3 linked regions of the Danio rerio genome follow. The protein of the gene in region 1 binds, or shares a complex with, the protein of each later gene. Links are inferred from orthologs where the notes say so. Each region holds a gene or a part of one and is shown in the gene's direction. Other genes may lie near its edges. The genes, in order: fga, f2 and fgg.

Region 1 (10,482 bases):
TTAATTGAAAGAAAACATCCAAAATACACCTTTAAGTGTTTATTTTATGGCACTCTATCCACTTAAATAAACACTGCGTTATTTAATATATAATTTAATGTTCAATTAAAATTGCACTATATTCATCGCACTCCGTTGCACTAATTTATCTTGAATTGTACATATCCACTGCACATATATAAAATGCTCATAAGCAGCATTTCGTTGCCTTGTACTTGTGCATGAGTAATAACAATAAGGTTGAATCTAATCTAATCTACTATGTGTCTGTAGACTTCAGTAGCAAATAACATATATTTTTTTATTTATATATATATATATATATATATATATATATATATATATATATATATATATATATATATATATATGTATATATATATACATACATACATATACATATATGCATAAATCTCCACTTCAGCTGCACTAATAATCACAAAAGGTTTCCTAAAAGTTTTATTTATATCTGTATTCTGAATCTTTTTGTTACGACATTGTATTTTATTAATTCGTTGTATTATTATTACAATTTATTCTACATAAGTTATTATTATTTAATTTGGCTGGTAATATTATGAATTATAGAGTGACAAGGAAAGTATTTTTAACTTAATAAGTCGTAGGGAAGAATGGTGATAACAACTAGATTTTTTTCAACATTATTTACCTGATTTGAAGTTATTTGTCTTAAAAATCAAACGGGAAAGTTTGAAAAGGCTTATGCTTTAATGACATCTAGTGGTCGTTCAAAAGAAAAACTACATATAGATGGTTTTAATCACTTGTTTATTGCAGAAACGTCGTTGTCAAAACTGTTGTGCATAGGAAAAATTTAACTCATCGTCAATGTCAAATCATATAAAATTAATGCATGTAATATAAATACCTGACGTTGCAGTGTCACCCCAAAACCCCGACGCGCATCCAATACGAACAGTTTTATGTGCAGAAGAGCTGTAATGTCTAATATTGTGTCTGTGACGAGAGTCTCTTGCAAAACATCTGACAGTTGCAGATTTAACGTTACTTAAACTGTGTGGATATAAAACACTGTAACCGCAGAAAGGCAGCGGAGAGGTTGAACAAACTTTCACCGTCAGTCGATGCAAACTCCCAGACACGCGCGTGAGATTCGCCATGGTCGCCGAACGCTTTTATTCTTGAAATTATTATTATAATTATTTCTGCGAAGAGACGATTGTATTTACTACAAGTAAACTTGACTGTCTAAAGTACATTCGCGTACTACACGCAATTTCATCCGTGTAGGACAAATAGGTGTTATCGTAGTTCCTATAGGCATATACAGGGCTTTTGTAGAGCGATTAAATGAAGTGTACAAATCCATATGATTTTATAAACATACAAACCGTATTCATATGAGAGGTAAGTGTCGACTTTAATGTTTTAAATAACTTTTGTGAAGGAAAAAAAGGCAAAATATTAGTGATTCAATCTCCGAAGCCTACTTTGATTTTTGCTTTACATCTTTTAATACAGCCTATATGAAATCAAACTAGTTCTGACCGTGTTAAATTAAGCTACTATTGTCCTATTGATTTTTGTCTTTTAAGTCCTGCTGATTGAAATATTCCAAATGTTATGCAATTAAAAAATCAATTCAATGATTAATACATATACAGAGCTTATTCAGTGTAACAGGACCTAAAAGCCTTTATGAAATGTTATAATTATTCATTCATTCATTTTTTCTTTGGCTTAGTCCATTCATTCATCAAGGGTCGCCACAGCAAAATGAACCGCCAACTTATCCAGCATAAGTTTTACACTGTCACTGCGGATGCCCTTCCAGCATCCATACATACTCATTCACACTCATACACTACGGCCAATTTAGTTTATTAATTTCACCTTTAGTGCATGTCTTTGGACTGTGAGGGAAACCGAAGCACCTGGAGGAAACCCACACCAACACGGAGAGAACATGCACAGAAATGCCAACTGACCCAGTGAGTGCTCAGTGCTAATCACTGAGCCATTGTGTCATCCAACCTAATAATAATATACGAGTTTATTGTATAATTTTATCACAGACAATTTCTGCAATAGCCAACATGTTTCTAATTGATAGCCTGAAACATGTAAACTTATGTAATTTAAATAACTTATGTATTTATTTATAATTTATGTAGTTTATATAAGCTTATGTGGATGTTTCCCAGGGATGGGTTGTGGCTGGAAGGGCATCCACTGCTTAAAAAAAAGTGCTGGATAAGTTGGCAGTTTAGTCCGCTGTGGTGACCCTGGATTGATAAAGGGAATGTCAATTATTCAAAGCTGAAAATTCAGCATCATTACTCCAGTATTTATTCACAATATCTGAAGGCTTTCTAATACATTTTGCTGCTCAAAGACTTTTATCAACACTGAAAACTGTTGTGCTGCTAAAATGGCTATATGTGGATTCCAAGATACATTTTCCCCAGATACTTTGCAGGGGAAATAAAAACTATGAAACAATATATTGATCATGGTATATCAGCCTAAGTTCATAAGAACAGCATTTATTTTATGCCTGTTTTTTTAAAGCTTTACATTAGCATTAGCATTCACATATAGGCCTACATAGTGCATGTACAATAAGCATTCAACAAAGTAGAATCATCATTTTGAATGTTTGATTTTAGAAGGAAAATTTTGCCCCCACAATCTTTCATTCTGTTATATTTCTCCATTAATGATACAAACAAAGAGACATTTTCTTGTTCAGAAATCAGATTGTGCAGAAATATTACAAGTAGCCTAACAAGATAAATTGAATGACACTAATTATTTTTTTAATTATCCTTCCAAATCAAACATTCATAATGATGATTCTACTTTGTTGAATGCTTATTGTACATGCACTGTGTAGGCCTATATGTGAATGCTAATGCTAATGTTGAGCTTTCATTGATTCATTAACAGACGAGCTGTGATCTGTATTGTGCAACGAGAGCTAAAACCCACATTCACAACAACCTAAAACAAACATTGATTGTGTAACTAAAAAGAGCAGTCCCAGAACTGATCCTCATGAGTGCATTCTGCTACCTTTCTATGACCTTATGTGCTTACCTTATGTGCTGATTATGTTTTGTATGTGGAAATTGTAATGATGATGTATCCTCTTTGCAAATACGAAATGTAGCCTATGTAAAGAAACCCTTCTGAATCAGAAAACAAGCAATGGTTAGTTCACAACCCAAATTTGCTAAATAAAGTTTAAATGTAAAACAACCTGCTGTGATGTACTGAACACTTAACAAGCTGAGTAAAATGTTTTTGAAAATGTTCACCAAGGCAGCATTTAAAATTTTTATTGATATATATATATATATATATATATATATATATATATATATATATATATATATATATATATATATATATATATATATATATATATATATATATATATATATATATATATATATATATATATACTGTTAATTATGGGCGACGCAGTGGCGCAGCAGGTAGTGCTGTCGCCTTACAGCAAGAAGGTCGCTGGTTCGAGCCTCGGTTGGCATTTCTGTGTGGAGTTTGCATGTTCTCCCTGCATTCGCGTGGGTTTCCTCCAGGGGCTCCGGTTTCCCCCACAGTCCAAAGACATGCAGTACAGGTAAATTAGGTTGGCTAAATTATCTGTCGAGTGTAAGTGTGAATGAGTGTGTTTGTGGATGTTTCCCAGGGATGTGTTGTGGCTTCAAGGGCATCCGCTGCTTAAAAAATACAGTGCTGGATAAGTTGGCAGTTCATTCCGCTGTGGCGACCCTGGATTAATAAAGGGACTAAGCCAAAAAGAAGATGATTGAATGTCAGTTATACAAAGCTGAAAATTCAGCATCATTACTCCTGTATTTATTTACAAAATCTGAAAGCTTTCTTATACATTTTGCTGCTCAAAGACTTTTATCAACATTAAAAACTGTTGTGCTGCTAAATGGGCTATATGTGGATTCCAAGATACATTTTCCCCAGATACTTTGCAGGGGAAATAAAAGCAATGAAACAACATATTGGTTGTGATATATTAGCCTAAGTTCAGATGAACAGCATTTATTTTATACCTAGTTTTTGTAATGTAACGTTTGATAGTTGATTGTTAAATAAAAGCCTTAGCTTCATTAAAACAACAACAATGTTTAAATTATTATCATTATTTTTTTAATAAAGCAATAATGATTGATTGAATTATATTCCATTTATCTGTTCATAGGCCCCAAAGTAAAGTTGAAAGTTAGTCTTCAGTCAGCGTCACTTCTTGTACAAGCATACAGCCTATATTCTCATTCCCGTAAGCTAGTTGATAATAGCTAAATGTTGTGTAATTTGCATCTCTCTCTCTCTCTTTCTCTCTCTCTCTCTCTCTCCATATTTGTTTCTGAAAGGTGTCTGTTCCAGATTGTGGGGGCAGAGAACGATGGTCAATAGTGAGTCAGTGTGTTGATCAATCCCAAAGGTTCATATGTGATGTGAGAGCAGAGACAGTCTGTATTCTGCACAGAGAGGCTGGAGATGAAGTTCACACATTCACTGCTCTGCCTGTTCGTGGCGGTGTCCTCTGCATTGGTGAGTGATATAATGCATTCTATTTTTAAAAAAAGATCAGTATTTTTTATTGTGTTAATGTGTTATTTTTATATTTATGCATATGTGATTTTACTTTAAATCCAATTAATTTTATAATATGTACAGTGCTCAGCATAAATGACTACACACATCACAGAACTCAAAATGAATGGACTTCAAAGTACATAAGATATGCAATTTTAACTTTACATAAGTGCATATAAGTTGTGATGATTAGAAAAGTTAATTTAATTCAACAACAAAAAATGAAGGCAGCAATATATACAGTTGGAGCCAGAATTATTAGCCCCCCTGAATTATTAGACCCCATGTTTATTTTTTCCCCAATTTCTGTTTAACGGAGAGCAGATCTTTTCAACACATTTCTAAACATAATAGTTTTAATAACTCATCGCTAAAAACTGATTTATTTTATCTTTGTCATGATGACAGTAAATAATATTTGACTAGATATTTTTTAAGAAACTTCTATACAGCTTAAAGTGACATTCAAAGGCTTAACTAGGTTAATTAGGTTAACTAGGCAGGTTAGGGTAATTAGGCAAGTTATTGTATAATGATGGCTTGTTCGGTAGACTATCGGAAAAAAATATAGCTTAAAGGGGCTAATAATTTTGACCTTAAAATGGTTTTTAAAAATTTAAAAAAAGCTTTTATTCTAGCTGAAATTAAACAAATAAGACTTTCTCTAGAAGGAAAATATTATCAGACATACTGTGAAAATTTCCTCGCTCTGTTAAACATCATTTAGGAAATATTTAAAAAGAAAATAAAATTCAAAGGGGGCTAATAATTCTGACTTCAACTGTATATTTTTTTTTACAGTGTATAGGATGCTCTACAATAATATATTTGTGCATATACATTAGATTAGTATTTATTTAAGCCAAAACTGGAACTAATCTGACAAAAAAATCGTGAGATCAAAGTCTAAAAATTAGTTAAAATATAGTAAAATTAATAAAAAAAAAAATTATAAAATTTTAATTAATATTAAAAATCAATAGAATAATAAAAAAGATCAAATTTTGTTGGAATGACATGTTTCAATTTAAATGTATTTTCTTGACTACATTCACTGAGAAATGGATAAAATAGTAGTTTTCAAAAGGGTGTACTTATTTGCTGAGCACTGTATGTTAAAATGGCCTATGTTGGCAGACCTAAGTAGTTATAAAGTACTTACTTTTTAGGCCGAGGAGGACACAGTGGTGAACCCTAGAGGCGCTCGTCCTATTGAGCACGGCTTCAAGGCACAAGACACCTGCCAGACAAAAGAATGGCCAGGGTGTACCGATGATGACTGGGTATGGGTTTCTCACTGTTTTTCTTCACTTCGTTCATTCCATCCATCCACCATCATGTGGATGAATGATAACAGCCTTCTAAGCCTATATGCGCAGAGGACCCCTACTGGCCCATATCTGTCAGCTGATAACCACTGATTACGCCCATACAATTGAGTGTAAAACATTCGAGTTGGCTGGATAAAAAATTTCAGACGGCATTTAGAAGTCTTCATATACTACCTATTACTATATATTATATAAGTCATAAATATTGACTCAATAATTAGACAAAACACAAAAATCTCTATCAACAAATTTGTTGCAGTAAATGTTTCTTTCAATCCTCAATATAGGGAAGCAAATGTCCATCTGGCTGCCGAGTTCAAGGCCTCATGGACAAAGCTGACCATGATCTCCTCAAGAAGATTGAGAAGATTCGACGTCTCCTGGTGGAGGGCCAGAAACTATATCGCTCTGCCGATGAAGTGTCCAAAACCACCTATACTTACCTGAGAGAGAAACTGACCTCTAACAGTGGTAAGGATTTGCTTTGGTTCAGTTGTGATCATTTTTGTCCATGATTAAGTTCATTTGTTACGGAGACCCGGAAGAAACGTAATGGTGAGAGTGGAACTGGGATTTTTATTTTGTTTTGATCCCAGATCAACTTCTGTACACGCCATTTAAAGTGACACCTCTGTTATCAAACAAGTGAAGAGCAGCAAATGAATCTAGTTTGGTTTTGTTTGATAACCGAGGTGTCATTTTAAGATTGCACAGATCTATAATGACGGCATTCGATTACTTCAGTAACTGTTTGTGCTCATTTAGGAGAAAATTAGTTGTGTTTAGAAATAAAAACATGCAGGACGGACATGTTTACATATTAAGGTTATTTGTCTGTTTAAACACACAACCGAATCCCAAAGTGTCCTGCACTTTAGCTCCTTTTTAAATGCCGTGTACAAAAGGTGATCTGGGATCAGTTTATCATATAGTGCTTCCGTTAGTCAGTGCTTATACATGCATTCGCTGATTCAGAGGTAGCATATGAAGGGCTACGATCGACGCACAGCTTTAATAGAAAGAAAGTGAATGCAGGCATTTTTATATTATTTTTAACATGCTTTCAAGATCAAAAATATGGGAGAAATATGGGAAAATACTTAATGATAGGATGATAGCGGGATAGAATGGTAAAATACTGGAGAATCGTGGCAAAAATGGGAGGGTTGACATGTATGAAGTGAACAAGAAGTGTTTGTCAGCAACAAGGGAACGCAAAAACTTTAAATCTATATATATAAATTTTCCAACACTCTTTTTTTATCACATCCATTATTTTCCCCCACCATCACTTCCCTTCCGGGTCTCCGTAATTTGTAAAACACACTACAAATCCTCATTTTTCTTCTCCTCAGGTTATGATAACAGGTATATGTCTCTGGCCGAACAACTGAGGCAGAGGATTACTGATATCAAGATTAAAATTGACCGCCAACTTCGACTTCTGGACGCTCTGAAGTCGCAGGTCAAAGATCAAGTTGTTGTAATGCAGCGGCTTGAGGTGAGCAAAATATTTAAAGAAACATTTCACCATGAAGATGACAATTTACTTATTATTTATCCACCCGGGTTACGAGTTTCTTTCTTCTGTTGAACACAAACGATGAGACTTTGAAAAAAGCTGTAAACCTGAAACCATTCACATCTATATGAAAAACAAATACTATAGTCAATGGGTACAATTGTTTGTTTTTCATATGATAGATGTCAATGGTTTCAGGTATACAGCTTTCTTTAGTGTATCTTCTTTTGTGTTCAACAGTAGAAAGAAACTCAAACAGGTTTTGGTTGAACTATCATAAGTCTTAACCAAGTTTTAGCTAAAACGGAGTCTTGGTTTATGTGAAATTTGATCTCTACACTGATTTCTGGAAACAACGGCATCATTAAGTAAACTTTTCCAATATTATCTCCTACCACAGGTTGACATTGACATCAAACTACGCACATGCAAAGGCTCTTGTGCCAGCTACAGCGAGTTCTCGGTGGACAGGGAAAGCTATGTGACTTTGGACAAGCAAATGGACAATCTGAACGCCATGCGTGTACAGAGCGTGGAGACTGTCAGTTCCTTGGGAATCATGAAGAGCAGGCCGTTGAAGGATGTGTTGGTGCCCACCATTTATAAGAGCGGAACGGGCAAAGCTGAGCAGAAGCTGCTTTTTGGAGATGTAGGCCAGATGCAGCTCTCTCTGGAAGCTGAAGGCTCCACTGCCGAATCTGCCGCCACAGTTAGCAAGTTTCCCACATCAGGTACGGGCTCCACATCACAAACCTCCAGCAAGCAGTGCACCAAATCAGTTCGCAAAGTGATAACACACACCAAAGATGGCCCCGTGGAAAAGGTTGAAGTTTCGTCTAGCGGGCCCGGGTGTGATGATTTAGGAAAACTAGGAATTTCAGATTCAGAGTTTTTGACGGCAGCCAAAGATGGGAAAGATTTGAGTCGCGATGGCTTGAAAATAACAGTGACCGGCGGTGATGAAAAGTCCCTCACTTCTCTAAGCCACAGCACTTCTGATCTGGGTGGCTTCGGAGGAGACTTCTTTAAGAATCTTGGCACTGACAACCGAAAGTATGCCTCATCTTCATCCTCAACATCCACAAAGACAGTGTCAGATGGAAGCAAAAGTTACTCAAAGACCACCCTCACTAGCGACCCTATTTTTGGGGATGACCTCGGGGCGTTCATGCGGGGCGACGTGGAAGAAGATATGCCCGACATCCATGCACGCAGTGTGAAATCGCAAGACGATCGCAAGGCTGGCTTTGTTGGCGGAGGTACACTCGAGTGAAACTCTTAACACAAGTGAACCATTGATAAACATAATGATAACACTATTAACAAGAGTTTGTTGGAAACATGTGGACTAACTGATATCTAAGTAAATACCAATCCATCACATTTATTAATACTCACCAAGAAGCAATTGTTTGGATCTCTGGAATGAATTTGCAATGCAGTTTTGCTCTAATCGGCAGGTGTGTAATCTTCTTTCAGATTGCGTTGAAATCCAGCAGAAGCATGTGAACGGCGGTCAGAGCGGGATGTTCAAAATAAAACCAGCGGGGTCTGAGGAGGTAGTAGAGGTTTACTGTGACCAGAGCACTGGGTTGGGGGGATGGACTCTGGTTCAACAGCGGGAGGACGGGTCTGTTAACTTCAACCGCACTTGGAAGGAGTATCTAAATGGTTTCGGACAGATAGACAAGCAGGGTAAGGGCGAGATCTGGATTGGCAACAAATTCCTGCACCTTCTCACTCAGAAAGAAAGTCTTCTGAGGGTGGAGCTGCAGGACTGGACTGGAGCTGAGGCCTACGCTGAGTACAACATTAAAGTTGGCTCGGAGGCTGAAGGTTTCCCGCTGACTGCATCCGATTATGATGGGGATGCAGGAGATGCGTTAGTGAGAGGACATCCCAACCTTGGATCCTTCCTTTCACATGCTGGCATGAAGTTTAGCACCTTTGATAGGGACAGTGATAAGTGGGAGGAAAACTGTGCAGAGATGTATGGTGGAGGGTGGTGGTATAATAACTGCCAGTCAGCCAACCTCAATGGCATTTACTATAAAGGAGGCCAGTATGACCCGGCTACCAAAGTCCCCTATGAGATTGAGAATGGTGTCGTGTGGCTGCCTTTCAAACCAGCTGATTACTCCCTCAAAGTGGTGAGAATGAAGATCAGACCTGTCTGAAATGAAAACATAAAGAGGGGATTAGGGGAAAAAGGATGGATATCTGTTGTTTTGAATGAGCTGTATGATTAATATTCTGCTTGTGTTGAACGTAATACAATGATGATGCAACATACATTTTTACACAACCAGATTACCTCATGTTTCCAATAAAGATGTGTTCACTTTAAGTTCTGGAGTGTGTTTTTATTTAAAAAGGTCTGCTTTCAGAATCATTTTCTGGACGATCTACAGACAAGTTGTAACCACAAAAGCACAATGTGTTCAGATCATTTTGGTTTTCTTTAAGGGGATAGTTCACACAAAAAATTACAATTCTATCATCATTTACTCACCATTCATTTTTGAAAATCTTCTGTCGAACACAAAAAGAAGATTTTCTGAAGAGAGTTTTTATTATAGGAAATAGTATACATTTTTCATATGGAAGTCATTGGTTATTGGTGTTCAGCTTATTTTAGGTTCGACAAGAAAAAAAAACTCAGAAAGCCACTTGAGAGTGAATAGTGAGTATTTGGAGGGGGTGGTGAACTATCGCTTTAAGTTTTCAGTTGATAAAGCTCATTTTAGTCTTTCTCACAAAAATCCACCCCCTAAAATTGCACCATCAGGGGTTCAACAGCTTTTCACCAAAACCATCAATGCTTCATAATGAAACCTTAATAGTGCATAAAGGCCAAATATTTAAAACACTTTTTAGGGGTAGACACACTGAAAACAATGCAGGGTACCATACAATACAACTTATGTCGCCCAAACACAAATCCATTAAGTTAATGTAACTAATTTAAGTTGATTAAACAGAAAACAAGTAGGTTCCACCAAAATC
Region 2 (10,743 bases), on another chromosome or scaffold:
GTTTTGAACTCAGTGTTGAAGGTAATCAGTTAATTAAATACCTCATTACTTCAACTTAAATGGAGTAACTCCACAGTACTCATATAGATTAGTTCTTTAACTCAAATGGTTTGTAGTTATCGGGTTCCTCAAACGGTTTGAGTTGCCTTAACTTGTTGAGTTTTACAGTACTGAGTTGGTTTGAGTTTTCTTCATTTATTGGGTTTTATTGTGCTCAAATTGCTTTATTTACTCAAATGAATTAAGTTCACAGTACTCTTTAGCATTAGTTTTTGAACTAAAATGGTTTGTTGCAATCGGTTTCCTCAAATGGTTTGAGTTACCTTAATTTTTTGGGTTGTACAGTGTCAGTAATTGCTATTTTTAACCGTGATGATGGGTAAATTGTCCTCAAGTAATAAGTAAAACATGTGTTGTTATTTTTCAGGGGTTGCAAAACGCAAGCCAGAGTGTGTACAAAAGAGAAATCTCTGATGAAGTGTGCTGGATGCAGTAAGTTGATCTAAAATTCATTAATTAGTATATTTATTACATTACTGGATATCATCATGACATTGTAGAACTGCTTTCACAGGTTTGCCTGCAGTGCTCAGAGTGCAGAAGAGAGCAATGTCAGTGTACTTAAAGTGGATGGAAGACTAGGCCTTAAGGTCTGTAGGGATATTCAGCCAGGAACAGAACTGCTCCTTTGGGAAAGTCATCCAGAAGCTGTGACTGAAGAAGAAACGCCTCAAGTAGAAACATGTGAAAACAGAGAACAAGATGAAGCTCTGGAGGCCAACACTTCAGATCACTTCTCAGGCTCTCCATGTGAGTTTATACACAATATTCATTATATCTGTTTAAAGGGCCAGATATAGTGCCTGCAGTGTTTAGCATACTGCTAGCACACTTGTTATTGCTGGACTTCATCTTGAGAGCAGCGTTTAGATAAATATGTAAATGTATGCTATTCCTCTCCAATAACATAATTAAGACACAGCTAATATTACAGCAATAAGAAAATGGCTATTGAGAAAGCATCTGATCATAGTGGTGTGGATTTTTGCAGAATTTATAACACCAATAATAGTTTGAAAGTGTTTACCAAGCTATTTTACCAAATTTCAGAAACAAACACCAATCAAACTTGTGCTGTCCTGATTTTAATGCCGAAACCGTGTCAGTTTGTTCTTTCAGTAAAATGTTGAAGTGTGTTGGTGCCTTAAATGGTCCATTATAGTTAGTTAGTTATTTAGTTTATTTATATAGCACATTTTTACAACACAACATTGCCCAAAGTGCTGAACACAATCAATACTAAAAATAAAGTCTACATCACATACATACTTATATAAGGCATGGGTCTCAAACTGGATTCCTGGAGGGCCGCAGCTCTGCACAGTTTTGCTTCAAACCTAATCAAACACATCTGATCCAACTAATCAAGGTGTTCAAAGCAACTAGAGACTATTAAGCTGGTCTACATAGGTTGGAGCTAAACTATGCAGGCCCTCCAGGAATTGAGTTTGACACCACTGATATAAAGTAGTTCATTTGAAAATGTGATTTTTTTTTTCTTCTTCTATCAGATCTTCTTCAAAGAGTCACACAACAGGATACAAAATCTCCAGTTACAGTAAAAGGTCTTGTGCAGGACAATACAATCTGTAATTCCAATGTCCTTGAGCAGAATGGGATGGAAGAAAGTGAAGCAGAACATAGTGATGAACTTCCTGCAACAGAAGAGATTGAGAGCATCAATGTGAGTGCATCACAGGCCCAGACTTCATCACAATGTCTCACACCAGAAAGAAGCCTGAGAACCAGCTCTCGCCTCGCCTCTAAACCCCGAAAAGTGCACTCATCAGCCAAACGCATCTACAAACGACACGACCCAAAGAACAAGCCAGATCTAAGCAGCAAGAAAAAGCTCTTGAATAGCAAAGACGACTTAATGCAGCCGTTGACAGTTAAAGAAGAATCCAGCACAAAGCAAAACGGGCAGGATTTCCCTCCCTTCAATATCCGAGAGAGGAAGTACAAATGCGAGGAGTGTGATAAAAGCTTCTTTCAACTGTGCCATCTGAAGAAACACAAATACACTCATCAAAATCAGAAGCCATACACGTGCACAGAGTGTGGCAAGTCCTACAGCTCACATGAGAGCTTCCAAGCCCACCTGCTAATGCATCGTGGCCAGAGGCCCTTTAAGTGCGAGCAATGTGACAAAAGCTATGGCTTGAAACGGGACCTCAAGGAGCACCAGGTTCTCCACTCAGGAGAGAAACCGTTTGTCTGTGACATCTGTGGAAAAGCATTCGCTCGTCGGCCCTCGCTACGAGTCCACCGAGAGATCCATCGGACAAAAGAGCCAGACTACCAGGCTTTAAAGGTCAAGTGTCCAGAGTGCGACAAAGAGCTGGCCAATTCGGGTTCTTTGAGGAACCACATGCGTCTGCACACCGGAGAGCGACCGCACATCTGCCCGCACTGTAATAAGTGTTTTCGCCAACGTGGGAATCTGCAAGGACACATGCGCATCCACACAGGAGAAAAACCTTACAGGTGTGACCACTGCGACCTGAGATTTTCTCAAGTACCCGAACTGCGTCGGCATCTGATTTCACACACGGGTGAGGTGTATCTCTGTCCTGTCTGTGGTAAAGCTTTACGGGACCCTCACACGCTTCGCGCTCATGAACGGCTCCATACGGGAGACAGACCTTACAAATGTGAGCAATGCGGGAAAGGGTACACGATGGCAACCAAGCTACGACGCCACCTAAAGTCCCACCTGGAGGAGAAGCAACACGTTTGCCAGGTGTGCGGAGCAAAATACTCAATGATGCAGAGTCTACAGCGGCATCTGCAGCTGCACCAGCCAGACTCTGGACATGCACTGCCAACAAGAGGCAGACCCAAAAGGTTAGGCCAGAAAGAAGAAGAAGAACCTGGTAGGACTGAGAGCAGCGGTTTGGAGGCAGGACAGGCTGTGGCATGCGCTCAAGCCTCAGACCACCTCACTATGGTGACCCACACAGAAGGGATCATTTTGGACTCTGGAACATACCAACATGGCACGATTGTTTTGGGAAAGGGAGCGGAGAAGGAGCTCGATCGGATTGAGCTCAGTGAGGACATTATTGAGATTTTTATTTCTGATGAAAACACCAATATAGTAGTCCAAGAACAGACTTCTAAAGGTTTAAGCCTTCAAGAACAGGAAGTTAATGCTGAATGCACAGTGGAGGCCAGTAGTGACTGTATTGTACTCCCAGAGCAAGATGCTAATAGTTGTTTGGTCATAATCCAAGGGCAGGATGGGCTAAGTTCAGTGGCAGAGACGGTAGAAATTGAGACAGTGGTATGATGGTAGGATTTTCCATTTAAAATATGATCTATTCACATTATGTCACACAAAAAGGAAGAGAAATCGGAAATAAAATGATTCCCTTTTGAATTTAAGTCTTGCTGTTCTTTGATATTTGGGAGGGTTTGCGGCACATATCAGTAAATATTGACTTCAGTGAGCAGTGGACCTTGTTTCATCAATGTTTATACAGACATTGTATGAGTACATCAGGAAAACACAACTGCATTGGGAAATTATTTCTTCTTTGAGGAAAATCTGATGAAGTTGAAGCAAATGATCGCGTCATTCACACTTAAACTATTAAAGTGAAACACTGTGTTTGTTCTTTTTACAAAAAGTACCTAATGATTATTATGAAAAGGATGGATAAGAAGAAGATACCATGAGGACTTACAGAGTTCTTCAGCTACATAGATAAGATAAATACTTTTAAATAATTAAATATATCTTATATTTAAATAGCAAAGCACTGTGTGTACTGTGAAGCATATTGTTTTAATTATAAACATAAGAAATAGCGTAATATGTTTTCACACATCAGTTTACATATCATTAGAGATATGAAGCTGTCATTGTCATGTTTTAAATAATTATATCTGTGATTCATGTTGCTCAGAAAGCAAGGAATGTTCCATTTTGAAGCTGAATGGTGTTCTGATACAGAAGAGGCTTTTGAGTAAAACAAGTACAGACACTTTGTTCTCTTTGAACTCTGGTAGTTCAATATTAACCTGGTGACTCTAGTAAATGCAGCTGTGGGCTTTCTGATTGAGTAGGCAACAGATTCCATGAGATGCTTCAGGTTTTTTCAGGATTACAGGCTCAGTCACTCTCAAGGATGGGAGCCAAACTAGCACCTCTTCTACTCTTCTTAATTTTTGGACAAGTTTTCCATCTCACACTGTGTCATAATGGTAAGACTGTATACACTGTAAAGTTTATCTGCCTTTTTTTCTTGTTAGGTCCTTGTAATAAAGAACAGATAGGATTATAAAGTATTATAATGCATCTAGATATTTTATTAAGAATTGTTTGCGTTTGTGCTGCAGTGTTTATCGATAGTAAGGAAGCCTCTCAGATTATTCGTGCGAAGAGGGCCAACACTGTTTTTGAGGAGTTAAAGCCTGGTAATCTGGAGAGAGAGTGTGTGGAAGAGATCTGTGACCATGAGGAAGCTCGAGAAGTGTTTGAGAGAGTTGATAAAACGGTGAGTACTTCACTTTTTGTTATAGGCTCAGTAGTCCTGATTTAAAATATATTAAAATAACAAAATCTCTCATTAGACCTCTTTCAGTCACGTGTCTTTATAGGATTTCAGTTTGGTTTGATTTAATAGTATTTCATGCTCAACATTTCCTTTTTTCTATTTAATTGCAGGAAATCTTTTGGGCGAAATATTTAGGTAAGTAAAATATATCACCTTACAGAAAGTTTGAGTGCAAACAGTGACAACATTTTGTGTAAACAGTTTCTATTGAACCAGGGACAAAGTGCATTTTTACTGACCTTTCTCTGCACCATATACAAATTAAAAACAAGTGTTTAAACAATCAAACAAATTACCAGAACTGAAAATATGCTACTTATATAAAAATATACATTTAGTTACACATAATTTATATAAAAAAATAAAAAAACAGAGGAGTGATTACAAACAAAATAATCTTACATTAGGATGCCACAATTTGAAATGCTCTATTTTTTAGTTATTTGATTTTTGTATTATTATTATTAATAATAATAATAAAATATATTAAAATTAGGTGTTTAAAAAATACTGACAACTAAAAAAATAATTTTTAGATACTTTTTTGTCGTTGAAATAGATTACCACTCCTGTCTTCTGACCTGTGATTTACAACAGTTGAATCATTAGAATTTAATTGCTTAGACTAAAATATTTTAATATCTGCATCAATATAATTTATGTAAAATGTCAAACCTTCACTTTAAAACTGCTGACATGGCAACTCTGTAATGTCGGTCAAATATTACTCTGTTTCATTTTCATCTGCTCAAAGGCTGTGAAGGAACAACCCTGTCCAGAACACCCCAAAATATTAACAGTTTGAGAATATGTGCGACTACAGAGGGTAAGTGGGATGCATGTTTGCTTACTTTGGTAACAGAATATGCTTGTTGTAACAAAACGAGACATTCTGTTAAGGTGAGTCCTTTCTACATTGTAAAATAACCCAAATTGTTTAATGTGTGATTGATAGGGGACTGTTTCATAAATATTGGAGCAAAGTATGCTGGTAAAGTATCTGTCACCAAGTCTGGAAAGGCATGCCAGTACTGGAAAAGCAACTTTCCCCACAAGATTGAGTATGCACCACTACTCTCGTATTTTTATTGTACTGAACCACCTTTAACAGTGTCTAACTGTGTCATCTCCCAGTGTTGGCCAGTGGGGAAAAACATTTCATATTGATTGAATAGAAAACACAAAAGCCTTCAGTAAAGAAAAGGTTGTTTTGTTTTACATGCCTTTAGTGATGTTCCTCTGTCTTATGATCCATTTGTTTCCCCCGCAGCGAATTTAATGTGACACAGCTGAAGCTACCGGAGAACTTCTGCAGGAACCCAGATAAGCACAAAGATGGCCCTTGGTGTTTTACCAGAGACCCGACTGTCAGGAGGGAGACCTGCAATGTGCCAAAATGTGGTAGAGAAAACTTACTAAAACATAACAGCAAAATGTACTAAAGTGCAGTAACTGGCAGTCAGAAATTTGAAATCAATCAAAACTGTATTATTTATAGCATTTGTTACCATCACCTGTTTGGGCATTGTGTTTATTGCACAGTCCAGGCTTGAGTTAAAGGGATTATTTACCCCAAACATCATTGACTCACCCTATACTCGTTTTAAACATTTCTTTATTCTGTTAAACACAAAAGAAGATATTTTGAAGAAAGCTGGAAATATGTAACCATTGACCTCTATTCATTCATTGACTTTCAGCTTTTTTTTTTTTTTGAGGCTCAGTAAATCATGAATAAGTTATCATTTTTGGTGAACTATCCCTTTAAGATTGTCTGCAGAGTGCCTTTAATTATCTTTTTACAGGTTTTACATTTACTCTACTTTTAACAAAAAATTAGTCTGTCATACTTAAAGAGTTTTTATTTTGTTGTAAAGTATGTAAATTACTGAACAAAAAGGTACACCCAACAGAAAAGTGGACAAAAGAGCTGCATTTGAATACCATCTCTCTCTCTCTCTCTCTCTCTCTCTCTCTCTCTCTCTCTCTCTCTCTCCTCCTCCTCAGGTGAGGCTGTTGTTCCTCCTCCAAAAGCTCCTACTGCAAAACCTGAGCAGCGTCATGTGATAAGCAAATGTCTGCCTGGAAACGGGGAGACCTACACCGGGGAGTTGTTTGTGACTCTGGGGCTACACACCTGCCTGCAGTGGAGCTCCGCAGAAGTACAAGCCTTGATTAAGAAGAAAGAACTTCTGCCTCAAGTTCAGCTGGTGAAGAACCATTGCAGAAACCCAGATGGAGATATGGAGGGTCCCTGGTGTTACATAAAGGCAGCAAGCGGAAACATTACCATTGATTACTGTGATTTAGAGTTGTGCGGTGAGTGAACAGTACTTTCTTTAAAACTTCATTAACCACTAAAAATATTCATATCCTTGCATTGAACCTAGGATCTCCCTTGAAAGGGAGTTCTGCAGCAGACTTAATTAATTAGGATTAAATGTCAGGATTTTAATGAGGCAAAAACACTTCTTAAATGTCAACTGTTAAAGAGTTAGTTCACCCCAGAATGAAGATTCCCTTAAAATACCATTATCATTTCTCAATTCCTTTCTTTAGAACACTAAAGGAAGGAATTTAATTTTTTTTTTTAGAAGTTGAATATTTTTTAATCATATCTGATAGGGCAAGCAGACTTTACATTTAATCTTTACAACATACTAGTATTTATTTTCTATATCTATTTTAGAAGCTAGTATCTTTTTTATCTTGAAATCATTGTCATGTTCAAGAAACCAGTCGGAGATGATTCACGTTTTATGACATGCCGTGTCATCCTGCTGGAAGTAGCCATTAGAAGATGGCCACACAGTGGTCATAAAGGGATGGACATGGTCAGCAACAATACCCTGGTAGGCTGTGGCTTTGCTCCATTGGTACTAATGGGCCCAGAGCATGAGAAGAATTTATTCCCCACATCATTACACCTCCACCACCACCACCAGCCTAACCCATTGATACAAGGCAGGATGGATCCATGCTTTCATATTGTTGATACCAAATTCTGACCCTACCATCCGAATGTTGCAGCAGAAATCGAGGCTAATCAGACCAGGCAACATTTTTTCCAATCTTCTATTGTCCAATTTTGGTTAGCTTGTGCTAATTGTAGCCTCAGTTTCCTGTTCTTAGCTGACAGGAGTGGCACTCGGTGTAGTGTTCTGCTGTTGTATCCCATCTGGCTCAAGGTTAGATGTGTTGTGCATTCAGAGATGCTCTTATGCTTACCTCGGTTGTAACAAGTAGTTATTTGAGTTACTGTTGTCTTTCTGTCAGCTCTTCTGGCCATTCTCCTCTGACCTCTGGCTTCAACAAGGCATTTGCGCCCACAGAACTGTCGCTCACTGGATATTTTTTTTTACCTTTCTCTGTAAACCCTAGAGATGGTTGTGCATGAAAATCCCAGTAGATCAGCAGTTTCTGAAATACTCAGATCAGCCCGTTTGGCAACAACAACCATGCCATGTTCAAAGTCATTTTGATGCTCGGTTTTAACTGCAGCAGATCGTCTTGACCATGTCTCCATGCCATAATGCATTGAGTTGCTGCCATGTGATTGGCTGATTAGAAATTTGCATTAATGAGCAGTTGGACAGTTGTAAAGTGGCCGGTGAGTGTATATAACAAATATGTACTAGTCACAACTGTATTAAATAATAACTCATAAATAGCCTATAAAAAATTCACCAGCAAATATCTAGTTGTCACTATTGAAACTGAAGTAATAAAATGCAATGAATTGATATTAGTGTCAAATGAATCACTAGTATCTGTTTAATTGGTAGTACCCGGTGAATAAATGCCAGTATCTTATAATAAGAAGTTGCAATTAATAACCATAAGAACAAGGTACCTAAAAATAAAAAAATAAACATTAGTAGCCTATTAATAATTGTTATTAAATAATAGAAAAGATCATCATAGTAGCTGAAGTGCTAGTAAAACTACTAGTGATGTGAAAATAAATAGTATGATTAGACTAAGACCAAATGTTAAAATGTTATGCCATACATCTAAGAGATTTCTGTCCCACAAGAACCAATCTGGTATGGTTGAGTTTCTGTTAATATATAATGTAAAGATTTTCTAACCAAACCTTGCATTAAACTCATGTGGATTTGTTTTTTAATCTCTTTATAAATGTTTTTAAGTATCAAAGTTTGGGGTGAATGAAGCAGGGCAAACATTTCTAAGATTTTATTAATATATATATTATGTTCAGAGTGATCATCAGTTTGAAATGAAATAAGGGTGAATAAAATATTATGGTAAAAAATTTACAAATCCTTAAACAAAACTTCATAAATCACACAGCACACACAGCATACATAATCCTGCCTTTGTCATTCACTCTCAGATGCTCCTTTGGACAAGTTTGTGGAGGAAGGTGGTGGACGAGAAAGAACAACTCTAGACCAAAGGAAAGCTTTCTTTAACCCCCGCAGCTTTGGAAACGGAGAGCTAGGTTAGAATCTAATACATTCACTAAAGGTCTGAGCTCTTGTACGATCCACTAATAATTAATATGATGCTCCCGCGTTGTTCTACAGACTGTGGAGAGCGCCCCTTGTTTGAGAAGATCAACAAAGCAGACAAGAATGAGAAGGAGCTTCTGATGTCCTATACTGGAAGCAGAATTGTGGGAGGAGACGAGGCTGAAGTGGCTAGCGCTCCATGGTAAAAACATGACAGGGCCTCTTTTTAAATGTTCAGATTTCTTGGCAACATCAGTCATGACAACAGCTAATGCCACATGTTTACCTTACCTTTAGACCAGGGGTGCTTGACACTGTTGCTGGAGATCTACCTTCCTGCAGAGTTCAGCTGCAACCTTGATCAAACACACCTGTCTTTAATTAACAAGTTCAGATCCTACTTAATTAGTTCAGGTGTGTTTGATCAGGGTTAGAGCTAAACTCTGCAGGAAGGTAGATTCCCAGGAACAGGGTTAAGCATGCCTGCTTTAGACATTAAGCAGGTGATTTTATAAAAAGTGACTTACAAAGAGGAGACATCAAGTGATTCATTGTAAAGAAACAATACTCACAGTGCTTCAAATACAAAGCTTCTCATTTTGATAGAGAAATACAAGCTATTATAGGTTTTTAACATTGCTTGTGTTTCAGAAATCTGTATGTGATTGGAGAGAGTTCCTTCAGTGAGGAACAGTAACTGTAAATGTTCTGGAAAGTGATAAAAAGCCTCTTTGCAATGGTTGTTTGATGTGATTTGCAGGCAGGTGATGCTGTATAAGCGTAGCCCTCAGGAGCTGCTGTGTGGAGCCAGTCTGATCAGTGATGAATGGATTCTCACCGCTGCCCACTGCATTCTCTACCCGCCGTGGAACAAGAACTTCACAATCAATGACATCATCGTCCGCCTTGGAAAACACTCTCGTACTAAGTGAGCCCTCCAAAAATTCCTTCATGGATTTCTTTTGCTTGTTCTAAAAGCTGAAATAAAAGTAAACAATAACCCTCAGTTAACAGAATGAGCTGCTGAACATTTTCCTGTTTCTCTCTTAATCAGGTATGAGAGAGGCATCGAGAAGATTGTGGCCATTGATGAAATCATTGTCCACCCTAAATACAACTGGAAAGAAAACCTAAACCGAGACATTGCTCTTCTCCACATGAAGAAGCCTGTCGTTTTTACGAGTGAGATCCACCCTGTCTGTCTGCCCACCAAGAGCATTGCAAAGAAGTAAGGAAAATCCGATAGTATAATATATATAATCCATGTATAAACCTGCAGGGCACTGTAGTTTCTCTGGATTAGCTAAGTTTATTAGATATGGGTTATAGTAAAATGTTAATCTTTTTTTATAAAGGTCTTTTACATTTTAAGTATAAATATTGTCATGTAGAAAAGACAGTTGGCTAGAATAACAAGGCTGTGTCGAAAGCTTAGTCAGCTGCCTTGTTTTCTTGCTATCGGGCACTGACCTTAGAGGCAGCGTTTGTGCATGAAGGCACCTCATAACACTGATTTCAGACAGACTTCTGAGACAGCATAATGATTCATGTACAAGCACAACAAGATAGAGAGAGCTTTGGTGATAACAAAGAGAATGTTTCCTTTCTACTAAACTCCCTTCCCCACAAGAAATGCCATCAAAAGT
Region 3 (10,438 bases), about 16 Mb from region 1:
CCGTTGCGTTGGCAGGCAAGGAAATGTATTGTTTAAACTCATAATTTACCTTATAATCTAAGAGAATAGTGGACATGCATGTTGCTGGAGTTGCTCTTTGGTGTTTCAGCTGTGTTATATTACACTGAACTGAGCCGAATCCAACTGTGAAAACTGAACAGATGCAGTTTACTTTACTAGAACTTCATCTATGTTAAGATGTTTCAACACAATATTGTAAAAAGAACATGGGGGGAGAGGATGTTTGCAATTTAAATTCAGCATTATTTTCTTAATTTTTTTTGTTGTGAATATAGTTTTTTTTATCTCTTCTATGTTAATTCATCCACAATGTTGAAAATGTATTTTTCTTACTCTTGAAATACATTTTTGACATATTTTCATTTTCAAAAATATACAAGTTTTAGCTAGCATGGTGTTCAGCCTGCCAAAACTGATGACCAGCTAAAAACAACTAAAGCCTCAGCAGGATCTGTTAAACTTGTATCTGCATGTGCAACAATGTTCCAGATGAGCTACAGAGCAAATTAGAAAAGCCACATGTGTGGATAGGCTACTAATATGTTATGCAAACAATTAATATGTAAAAAAAAATTCATTGTATTTTTTTGGATTATGTGGAAGCTGCTTAAATAAAGCTATTGATGGGAGCTGTATGAAACTTGACAGTATTGCAAGTTTCAGAGATTGAACTTGTTTGAAAATTTGACAAAGATTAAAGGCACAATATGTTAGATTTTTCATTAAAATATGAATATTATAACATTTTCCTAAATGTTTTGAAGAATGTTCATTTCCACAGAAATAAGCAATTTTTACTTGTAACACCGTTTCCTGTGTCAACATGTTAATAAAATCACACATCCTTGATTTTCGATTAGCTTTCTTAAAACATGGAAACATCAAAAACTCTTTATTGTGCTACACATTTTATTAGATTGCACAGAGCAAAAATTTTACAGAAAATTTAAAATGATAAAACAGTGTTGCTTCTTGCCCATATGATCCCTACCAGAAGAACCAGAAGCAGTGGACTGTCATAATTAAAGCTTTGCTGCTTTCATGGTGCCTCGTGCTCATCCCCCATCAGCAATTGTTTCAGCAACCCTGTTTCGCTTTAATGGTTTACAACCTTATCTGCTTCATTTTAAATTCTTTAGTTCATCCATGAACATGATTTCTTCTGGAGTCCTGTAAGATGCATTGAAGACAACAACTCCCATTCCACACTCATAACATCATCAAACTATGCCTTTATTTGTTAAAATGACATGCTGTCCCTTCATTTGTATGTATTTATATCTGTTACTGTTAGACTCCCCAGGAAAAAAAAAAACTTATATTAATCTCTATGTTTGCTCTAATGTTTTTCTCTATGCTTGTAATTAGTTTGTTATACTTTTATGCTAATGTATTCCCTTATGAAATAATCTCAGTCAATCTAAAATGATTCATTCTTTCCCAATAGAGCAATTCAAGTCATCTGGTGAAATTGTATTTGTATTTATATGGCAGAATAATTTAATAGCACAATGTCAATGTTTTCTGTAATATCATGCAGTCCCAAATTGTACTGAGTTAGGGAAGAGCTGTCCCAGTGCTTAAAATACTCTTAAAATGTCAACATCAAAACTTTCAGTTTGATTCTGGTCACAACTGGCTTGTTTTAGTTGACCAAAGATATGTGGCTGGTGCACATTGGATCTTGGTCTCTGCACACTTTGGTTTCAGTTGTAATATGACAAAATGCATATTATACAGAAACAACAAACCTTAGAATCAGCTTGTGCTGAATATGTGCTGAGAGTTAGCTTTCATTAGCCTTCTCAGGCAATGGGGCCCCGGATCAGTCTAAGACTCAAGGCCACTGGCCCCATAATCCAGTTCAGTCTGAATATCTTCCTCAATTCCAGTTCTTTCTTTCTTTCTTTCTTTCTTTCTTTCTTTCTTTCTTTCTTTCTTTCTTTCTTTCTTTCTTTCTTTCTTTCTTTCTTTCTTTCTTTCTTTCTTTTTTTTATTGCATTGCATTGCATTCACATAAACGATGAAGCCCATAGTCACCTTTCTTTAAAAAAAATAAGAAAAAAATTCAATTGGCAATATTTTCACTCACTTTACTAGTCCCACCCCTAAAATCCACACACATGTGACACACAGAATAAAGAGAATACAAACACTTCAATATTACAAAACCAGCTTCAATAAACCAGCAAATGTACCTAGGGTTTTTGACAACAAAAGCTTCTCAGGAGATTTTTTAGTGTCAGTATTCAAAAAAAAAAAGTTATTGTGATTTATATTTCTCAAATGTGGAAGAAATGTGTATTATTATTATTATTATTATCTTTTTATTATTATTATTATTATTATTATTATTATTATTATTATTATTATTATTATTATTTTATTATTATTATTATTATTATTATTATTATTATTATTATTATTATTATTATTATTATTATTATCTGCTACGAAACTATTGTTATTTAAACACAGACAATACAGTATGAATAACGTACAATACAAACAGATTTCTACCCATTCATCTAAAATCAAGATTACCAAGGCATAGGGTAGTAGTTCATCTCAATTCATTTTAATAAAGGTCATTCATTTTTAACAGCTGCACAAGATTTTTGATATGCAACATCCCCTAGTGGTTCATTCGGTTAAGACATGTTCATAGTCCAGATCAGCTTTGGTACTGATGTTTGTAGCCTTAAAAACAATTGAGCAACCATATTAATATTTAAAGTGACTAAAAAGTCATAGTATTCAGTCTTTAAAAACTCAAACAAAGTCGAACAGCACTTTATTAAAACCTCTAGAACTTTAGAACTCTTAATTCTACTTTTCCTCCTCATTTATTCCCACTCAAGTGATTCTAAATTTATGTATTTATTGCTTCTTGCTGATTTTTCCCAACATTCTTTGGTGTATATTCCTTTGTGTCCAACAAAAGAAAGAAACTAGCTATTTAATGTTTAACGTGTTTGATCTTGAAATTAAATTTAATGTTAATCTAATTTATTTTGCTTCTTTTTTTCTCTAATAGCTTTATATTATTTGCTTTGCTTATTACCATGAAAAAGAAGGAAATTTATTTATTTATTTATTTATTTATTTATTTATTTATTTATTTATTTATTTATTTATTTACTAACTATTGATACTTTGCTTTGGTCATTACCAGTACATTTGAAAAAAAAATGCATTTTTGTTCTTACTGGTGAGTCAGTATGTCAGCAAAAGTGTATGTTTGTCTGTGTGTGGGTACATGTTGTTAAAGTATTTGTGGAACATTTAATCTTCCAACACTAGAAAAGAAAAATTGACAAATCATTAACTTAAAACTGACTGGATAGTGACCCACAAGTTCTGTAGCAATGGCTCATTGCTGCGTCAAGGCAAATAATCAGTTTGTTTGATTGTTTATGTGTTTTAGGCCAATGCATAAGTACATTTACAAATACTGACATGCAGTGATTTAAATCCTTTAAAATCAAGGGATACAGTAGTGGGAAACCAATGATTAGTTAGTCTCAAAGTAAATTTTGTGAAAAACAGTTAATAAAATAGTATGTTTCAAAGAAAGCAAAATGAATGTTATTTTATGAGAACATATTCTTGTTTTCACAATTATTAGTTAAACTGTTAAAAAAGGTTTCTAATGCAACTTTACTCTACAATCTCCAAACTTTGTTTTTGATGGAAAAAAAAATCAAACCTGTAAATAAATAAATCATTTTAAATGTCTTAAATGTCCTGATCCACTAGCACTATGTACTAACATGATGGACACGTTGACCAACGTATATATGCATCATTTACGGTTAGTTTGGAGTCACACAGTGAGTAATAGAGGGGTGGTTTTAGCTCTTGTTTGAAGAGTGAACCGTTATCTCCATCTCCAAAGAGGACCTTGATCGGATAAATATCCTGCAACAGTCAACAGAAACTCACAATCTCAAGGGTATACCACACAGACAGGTCCGACATGGGCTCGATCATGCATGTGGTTGCTTCCATTGTGCTGCTGTGCACATTAACATCAGCGGTGAGTGACAGTTATTATATTTTATTATAAAACATTATAATGTCTTTGTTACTCATTTTCTTTTCTCCCTTATTTATTTTAAGCAAAGAGGAGACTACTCACCATCACATGATTTGTGCAACCCTAATGATGGGTTTGTAAGTACAAATTCTTTATGTTTTGGATTTTTTTAACTAATAAACTCTGTAACACTTTAATTAATATCAAAAGGATATTCAAATGGACCATCAAAATAATGTCCTTACTTATTAATGCCATTAAAGTATTAGTAGACTGTCTGCCTAAAGGGATAGTTCACCCAAAAATAACAAATTATGTCACATTTTGCTCTCCCTCTACTTGGTCCAAATATGTTTGACTTTTTTTCTTCTGTTTCTACTGTTTTTTCAATTTCTGTTATGACTTTCTATTGTGATGATCTCCCTATAGACATTCTACTGACTATAAGTAACGATATAATTAGTTTGCAAGCACAGGTCAACCAATTAAAATAAGTATTTACCAGTCTCCCATTACTGTACTAATCATATGAGAATTAGAAATGTAGATGCATTGATATAACGTTATAATCAACAAAATGAGTTGAAGGGACGCTGATTTTTGTACGATTTTATTTTGATAGTAAGATTGACACTTGGTTCCTCTCTTTTTCAGGGAACATACTGTCCAACAACATGTGGAGTCGCTGATTACTTGCAGAGGTACAAGCCTGATATGGACAAAAAGCTGGATGATATGGAACAGGATTTGGAAGAGATCGCCAACCTCACCAGAGGAGCTCAAGACAAAGTGGTCTACCTGAAAGATTCAGAAGCACAAGCACAAAAACAATCACCAGGTAGCACAATTTATCATTAATTATGATATTATTTAAGCCCTGAATGTCATAAAAATTGCCATATGGTGTAAGCATCAGGCAGAGGTAATTGCATTTGTCTAAAGCCTTAAACAAATATTTATACAAATGAATATGTATGTGTATATTTGCACACATATGCGCAAACACATTCCTTGATTCATTTTCCTTTGGCTCAGTCCCTGATTTATCAGAAGTCACCACATATATACAGTATACACTTACCGGCCACTTTATTAGGTACACATTACTAGTCCCACGTTGGACCCCCTTTTGCCTTATTCCTTCATGGCATAGGTTCAACAAGGTTCTGAAAATAAGGTACTGGAAACAAGGTACTGCAAATATGGAAATATACTGGAAATATTGCTCAGAGATTTTGTTCCATATTGACATGATAACATCATGCAGATTTGTCAGTTGCACATTCATGATGCGAATCTCCTGTTCCACCACATCCCAAAGGTGCTCTATTGGAATGAGATCTAGTGACTGTAGAGTCCATTTGAACTCCTTGTCATGTTCAAGAAACCAGACTGAGATGATTTGCGCTTTATGACAACGCGTTATACTGCTGGAAGTAACCATCAGAAGATGGGTACACTGTGGTCACACCATTACACCACCATCAGCAGCCTGAATCGTTGATATAAGGCAGGATGGATCCATGTTTTCATGTGGTTGATGCCAAATCCTGAGTTTACCATCTAAATGTTGCAGCAGAAATCGAAACTCATCAGATCAGGCAACATATTTCCAATATTCTATTGTCCAATTTAGTGAACCTGTGTGAATTGTAGCCTCAGTTTCCTGTTCTTAGCTGACAGGAGTGGCACCCGTTGTTGTCTGCTGCTGTAGCCCATCCACCTCAAGGTTGAAGGTGCTGCCTCTATGTGTTTGTGTATCTTTGTGCTTATTTATTATCAGCAGGTATCTTTATTAATTTATTTTTATTTTTCACTTTATTTATTTTCATTCTTTTCATAAATTTTTTTTGGCTTAGTCCCTTTATTAATCTGGTGCCGCCACAGCGGAATGAACCGCATCCTTACCCAGCATATGCAACCCATCTCTGGGAAACATCCATACACACTTATTCACACTCATACACTACGGACAATTTAGCTTACTCAATTCACCTGTACCACATGACTTTGCACTGTGGGGGAAACCAGAGCAACTGGAGGAAACCAACGCGAATGCAGAGAAAACATGCAAACTCCACACAGAAACACCAACTGACTTAGCCGAGTCTTGAACCAGCGACCTTCTTGCTGTGAGGCGACAGCACTTACTGTGACACCGCTTCACCTTTATTTATTTTTATTATTTAATTTTTATTTACTCATAAATAAAATGGGGTTAGTTGGACAACATGCCATTTTTCTGAAAATTACTTGGAATTTTGTTTCTCACTCACTATCCTTCGGCTTAGTCCCTGTTTTATCAGGGCTTGCCACAGTAGAATGAACTGCCAATTACTCTGGCATATATTTTATGTGGCGGACGCCTTTCCAGCCGCAACCCAGCAGCAAGAGTACACTAACCCATGAATCCCTAGTGCTGGGAAACACCCATACATTAATTTATACACACTATAGCCAATTTAGTTTGTCCAATTGAGCTATACCACAAATGTTTGGACTGTTGGGGAAACTGGAGCACCCAGAGGAAACCCATGCAAACATGCAAACTCCACACAGAAATCCTAGCTGGTCTAACAGGGACTCACTAGTGCTTACCACTGAGCCACCGTGCCACCCCACAAAATCATTTTATCGTTTACCAAATTTGTTATTTTTCAGTACCTGTAAACCTTAATTTTCTTTACTATCTTTTTGTCAGATACTTACATTAAAAAGTCTTCAAATATGCTGGATGATATACTACGATTTGAGAAGAGCATTCTCGCTCAGGAAGAACAAATATAGTAAGCAAATTTCCTTCTCATCTATATTATAGTGTATAAAAAAGTGAATTAAAAATCATGATGTAAAAATATATTATTCCATTAAAATATACATTTCCATATTTCTCCACAGTCAACTGCAGTCAGTCCTTCAAGCTAACGAGAAAAAAATAACGGATTTAAAGCAGATGTCTATGCAGCTGGACCAAATGTGCAAAGAGCCCTGCAAAGACACTGTGGAGATTCAGACAGTCACTGGCAAAGGTAAAGATTTAAACTTGAGCAAAATTCATGTTTATGACAATTGACATGCATACAGTATATACAGTATATATTAGTTTACTTTGCTTAAAGGACCCATAAAGTGCTTTGAAATGTGCAATTTTTTGATGTTTGACGTAATCTCAAATATGAATAGAGGGTGGGGTATAGTTGCTCCTCCCCTTCAAAAACAAGAGCATTTTGTTATCTCACACCACTTCCAGTGAGAGTGGTTGAGCTCAAGGGCAACAAATGAAAAGCAAATGAAAGACCTCTTGAAGGGGGTGGGGCATGTCAGATACTAGAAAGCATTTGATTGGTCAAGATTTGATGAGAAACTGAAGGATGAGGTTACGTCAAAAAAGGGTTATTCCATTTATAGGTATAAGTGACAAACTGCAAGCTTTTGATGTTTATATCAGGTTAATATCTTCTAAATACAAATTTTGTCACTGTTTTGGAGTAAACTAGATTATAGATTATTTTAGTTTCATGGAACTTTTATAAGAGCGAAACAGTTTGCCTTAAATTTTTTAATGAAATACGGTTGAAGTCAGAAATATTAGCCCCCCTTTTGAATTTTTGTTTCTTTTTTTAAATATTTCTCAAATGATGTTTAACAGAGCAAGGACATTTTCACAGTATGTCTGATAACATTTTTTCTTTAGGAGAATGTCTTATAATAAATATATTAAAGTTCTGGTATAAAGTCTTATAACTTGCCTAATTACCCTATCCTGCCTAGTTAACTTAATTAACCTAGTTAAGCCTTTAAATGTCACTTTAAGCTGTATAGAAGTGCCTTGAAAAATATGTAGTAAAATATTATTTACTGTCGTCATGGGAAAGATAAAATAAATGAGTTATTAGAAATGAGTTATTAAAACTATTATGTGTAGAAATGAGTTTAAAAAAATATTCTCTCCATTAAACAGAAATTGGGGAAAAATAAACAGGGGGCTAATAACTCAGGGGGGGGCTAATAATTCTGACTTCAACTGTATGTGCATAACTACGTATAAAAAAAAAAAGAAAGTTAAATCAACTTAACAGTTCCAAGTTAAAACGGGTTTACTCAATTTTTAAAGTAAAGTCAATAATCACTCTTAACAGTGTATATAATAAGAAAACTTATGTATGTCATGTGCCCAGATTGTCAGGACATTGCAAACAAAGGTGGTAAGGTCAGCGGGCTGTATTATGTGAAACCAGCCAGAGCCCCTGAAGCATTCCTGGTCTACTGTGAAATCGACAGCTTTGGACGTGGATGGACTGTACTTCAGAGGGTATAAGACACAACAGAAAATGCACAGTGACACAAACTCCTTTCGAAAAATGACCTGCACAAAACAAACTTTTAACAGACAACTTTATTGATTCTTTATTGATGTATGTTTTTCTCAGAGGCGGGATGGCAGCGTTGACTTCAGCAAAAACTGGATCCAGTATAAGGAAGGCTTTGGTTACCTCTCACCCGATGACAGGACTGAGTTCTGGTTGGGAAATGAGAAGATACATCTGCTGTCAGTTCAGTCCAGCGTGCCTTATGTGCTGAGGATAGAGATGGTCGATTGGGAAGGCAACAAAAAGTGAGAACTTTCTTTTTCATATTTGACACATAGCTTTAGGTCTTCAATCTTCCAAGTGGTGCTCCTCAATTGCATTTCATTACATTTATGCACAGGTTAGACATTTCCCAGCAAGAAATGTTGTTATATAAATCTATAAATCTGTTGCATAAATCTATAAGACATCTATCATTTATCAAAAAATAGACAAGTGATTAAATAAAGAAATTACACAGATTTCACATGTGTACACTTTAAAAAAAAAAGCCATTTATGTATCATTTTGAATAACATTATGAGTGCTCGATCTTTTATCCAATAACTTTTGATGATGAAAAGTTTGAAAAGGTGACTTGTATTGACATTTTGTCTGAATTGGTGTTGTAAATTATGGTTGAAAATCTGGTAATAAACTGCCAGCACTTTAATAATTTTCTTTTAACATCAAAAGTCAACAGAGATCAAGGTCTTCATTCATTTATTTTATTTTCGCTACATTTATTTTTTCGGTAAATTTATTTACGGTACATATACATATTTATTTTCGGTTTCGGTTTTTATTTTCTTCGCTACAGCTGAATGAACCACCGTCAATGTCTTATAATGCAATTCATAACCATAAAGCGTATGATATGACTGGTCACGGCTGGCTTCCCACCTGTAATCACTTATAATCCAATCAGATTGATCCATGGTTACAACAAGACCGAATTTCACTCTACTGCCTTATCTTCATTTTTGAAGAATCCCCTCTTCCACCCCATCTCCTCCTTTTCCTCCCTTTTCCAGGGGGAGCTCTCGAGACCTACCTGATCTTAGATCTTAAATGCTTATTGACTGACGGGAGCCTAGGGCTCAATTATCTCAGAGCTCAGGGTTTTCCCCCAGGACAGCATGCCAAATCTGCTATTAATGTCAAGTATATCTAAGTGTGAACTCCTGAATTAACTAATGTTTTTAAAGTGTTGTCATTCATCCCTTTGGTGCCATTCAGTCATTATTTGTTGACTGCTGCAAGGTGTCAACTAGATTTTAACTGACAGCTCAAATTTAGCCTTGTTTTAGCCAAGATGTCTATGTTTAGACATCTATAAGATGTATTTTAAACACTTCTAAATTTAGGGCAAACATTTCTATGTAACTATTTTTGTTTATGTTTTGTATAAATATTTTTGTAATAAAAAAAATGAAGAGAAAAAAAGCATGATAAACCAACCATAAACATTACTGTCACTTGGGTTATGAGCAAATCATATGAAAATGTACACAAATTCATAAGAATTGGATAACAGTTCAGTACAGCAGTTTAAGCAGTTTAATTATAAAAGATTGTGTTAATAAATTCATACATTGCATGGGAATCAAACACATAACCTCTAGCAGTGTGCTCTAGGATTTACAAGAACAGTTAGACCTAAGCAAGAACTGCCAATGAATTCCACAAAAAAAATCCAAAAGTGTTCAATATCTGCAGTTGTCAAACAAGACTTTGCTCTGCCATAATTGATTTTTGCCAAGTAACATTTCATGACCTCCTCAGCCAGATCAAACATGCTGCTGAGCATTAGAGCACTCAATATTCAATGGATTGTGTTATAAATGTGTCTTACTTTCTCAGATATGCAGACTATGCCACTTTCAAACTTGGACCAGAAGTTGATGCTTACCGCTTGACATACGCTTATTACTTTGGCGGAGATGCTGGCGATGCCTTTGATGGTTACGACTTTGGTGACGATCCCAGTGATAAATTCTACACGTCTCACAATGGCATGCAGTTCAGT

What was found.
Region 2: the proteins of fga (region 1) and f2 are in contact, whole or in part, in a crystal structure (PDB 2A45), measured with the Homo sapiens proteins. The link is inferred for Danio rerio from reciprocal best matches to the Homo sapiens genes FGA and F2. Residues at the interface, in NP_000499.1 of Homo sapiens: Trp52, Pro53, Phe54, Cys55, Ser56, Asp57, Glu58; in NP_000497.1 of Homo sapiens: Phe382, Lys384, Ser385, Gln387, Leu423, Arg425, Tyr434, Glu439, Lys440, Ile441, Ser442, Met443, Lys470.
Region 3: the proteins of fga (region 1) and fgg are in contact, whole or in part, in a crystal structure (PDB 3GHG), measured with the Homo sapiens proteins. The link is inferred for Danio rerio from reciprocal best matches to the Homo sapiens genes FGA and FGG. Residues at the interface, in NP_000499.1 of Homo sapiens: Trp60, Asn61, Lys63, Cys64, Pro65, Ser66, Gly67, Met70, Leu73, Ile74, Val77, Asn78, Phe81, Arg84, Ile85, Leu88, Ser91, Tyr95, Asn98, Leu105, Ile109, Ile112, Asp116, Ser119, Arg123, Asp124, Tyr127, Val130, Ser131, Asp133; in NP_068656.2 of Homo sapiens: Thr47, Thr48, Cys49, Gly50, Ile51, Ala52, Asp53, Leu55, Tyr58, Gln59, Val62, Asp63, Leu66, Gln67, Leu69, Glu70, Leu73, Thr80, Ile87, Ile90, Gln91, Tyr94, Glu98, Asp106, Ala107, Ala108, Thr109, Leu110, Ser112, Arg113.

The regions. Positions count from the first base shown.
Region 1 is NC_133176.1:11,470,618-11,481,099, reverse strand, and holds fga (fibrinogen alpha chain precursor), read left to right. Parts: upstream 1-4,400; 5' UTR 4,401-4,524; coding exon 4,525-4,578; intron 4,579-5,792; coding exon 5,793-5,906; intron 5,907-6,241; coding exon 6,242-6,425; intron 6,426-7,309; coding exon 7,310-7,455; intron 7,456-7,876; coding exon 7,877-8,735; intron 8,736-8,955; coding exon 8,956-9,653; 3' UTR 9,654-9,823; downstream 9,824-10,482. UniProt on the Homo sapiens protein: Cleaved by the protease thrombin to yield monomers which, together with fibrinogen beta (FGB) and fibrinogen gamma (FGG), polymerize to form an insoluble fibrin matrix. Fibrin has a major function in hemostasis as one of the primary components of blood clots.
Region 2 is NC_133182.1:38,962,628-38,973,370, forward strand, and holds the start of f2 (prothrombin), read left to right. Parts: upstream 1-4,125; 5' UTR 4,126-4,148; coding exon 4,149-4,269; intron 4,270-4,404; coding exon 4,405-4,562; intron 4,563-4,732; coding exon 4,733-4,757; intron 4,758-5,376; coding exon 5,377-5,448; intron 5,449-5,577; coding exon 5,578-5,683; intron 5,684-5,892; coding exon 5,893-6,023; intron 6,024-6,629; coding exon 6,630-6,941; intron 6,942-8,979; coding exon 8,980-9,087; intron 9,088-9,172; coding exon 9,173-9,299; intron 9,300-9,857; coding exon 9,858-10,025; intron 10,026-10,151; coding exon 10,152-10,325; intron 10,326-10,743. Other genes in the region: znf408 (zinc finger protein 408), read left to right, coding at 428-492, 575-810, 1,572-3,352. UniProt on the Homo sapiens protein: Thrombin, which cleaves bonds after Arg and Lys, converts fibrinogen to fibrin and activates factors V, VII, VIII, XIII, and, in complex with thrombomodulin, protein C. Functions in blood homeostasis, inflammation and wound healing.
Region 3 is NC_133176.1:27,271,405-27,281,842, reverse strand, and holds the start of fgg (fibrinogen gamma chain precursor), read left to right. Parts: upstream 1-3,964; 5' UTR 3,965-4,000; coding exon 4,001-4,060; intron 4,061-4,143; coding exon 4,144-4,197; intron 4,198-4,714; coding exon 4,715-4,898; intron 4,899-6,761; coding exon 6,762-6,846; intron 6,847-6,958; coding exon 6,959-7,089; intron 7,090-8,238; coding exon 8,239-8,372; intron 8,373-8,490; coding exon 8,491-8,675; intron 8,676-10,272; coding exon 10,273-10,438. UniProt on the Homo sapiens protein: Together with fibrinogen alpha (FGA) and fibrinogen beta (FGB), polymerizes to form an insoluble fibrin matrix. Has a major function in hemostasis as one of the primary components of blood clots.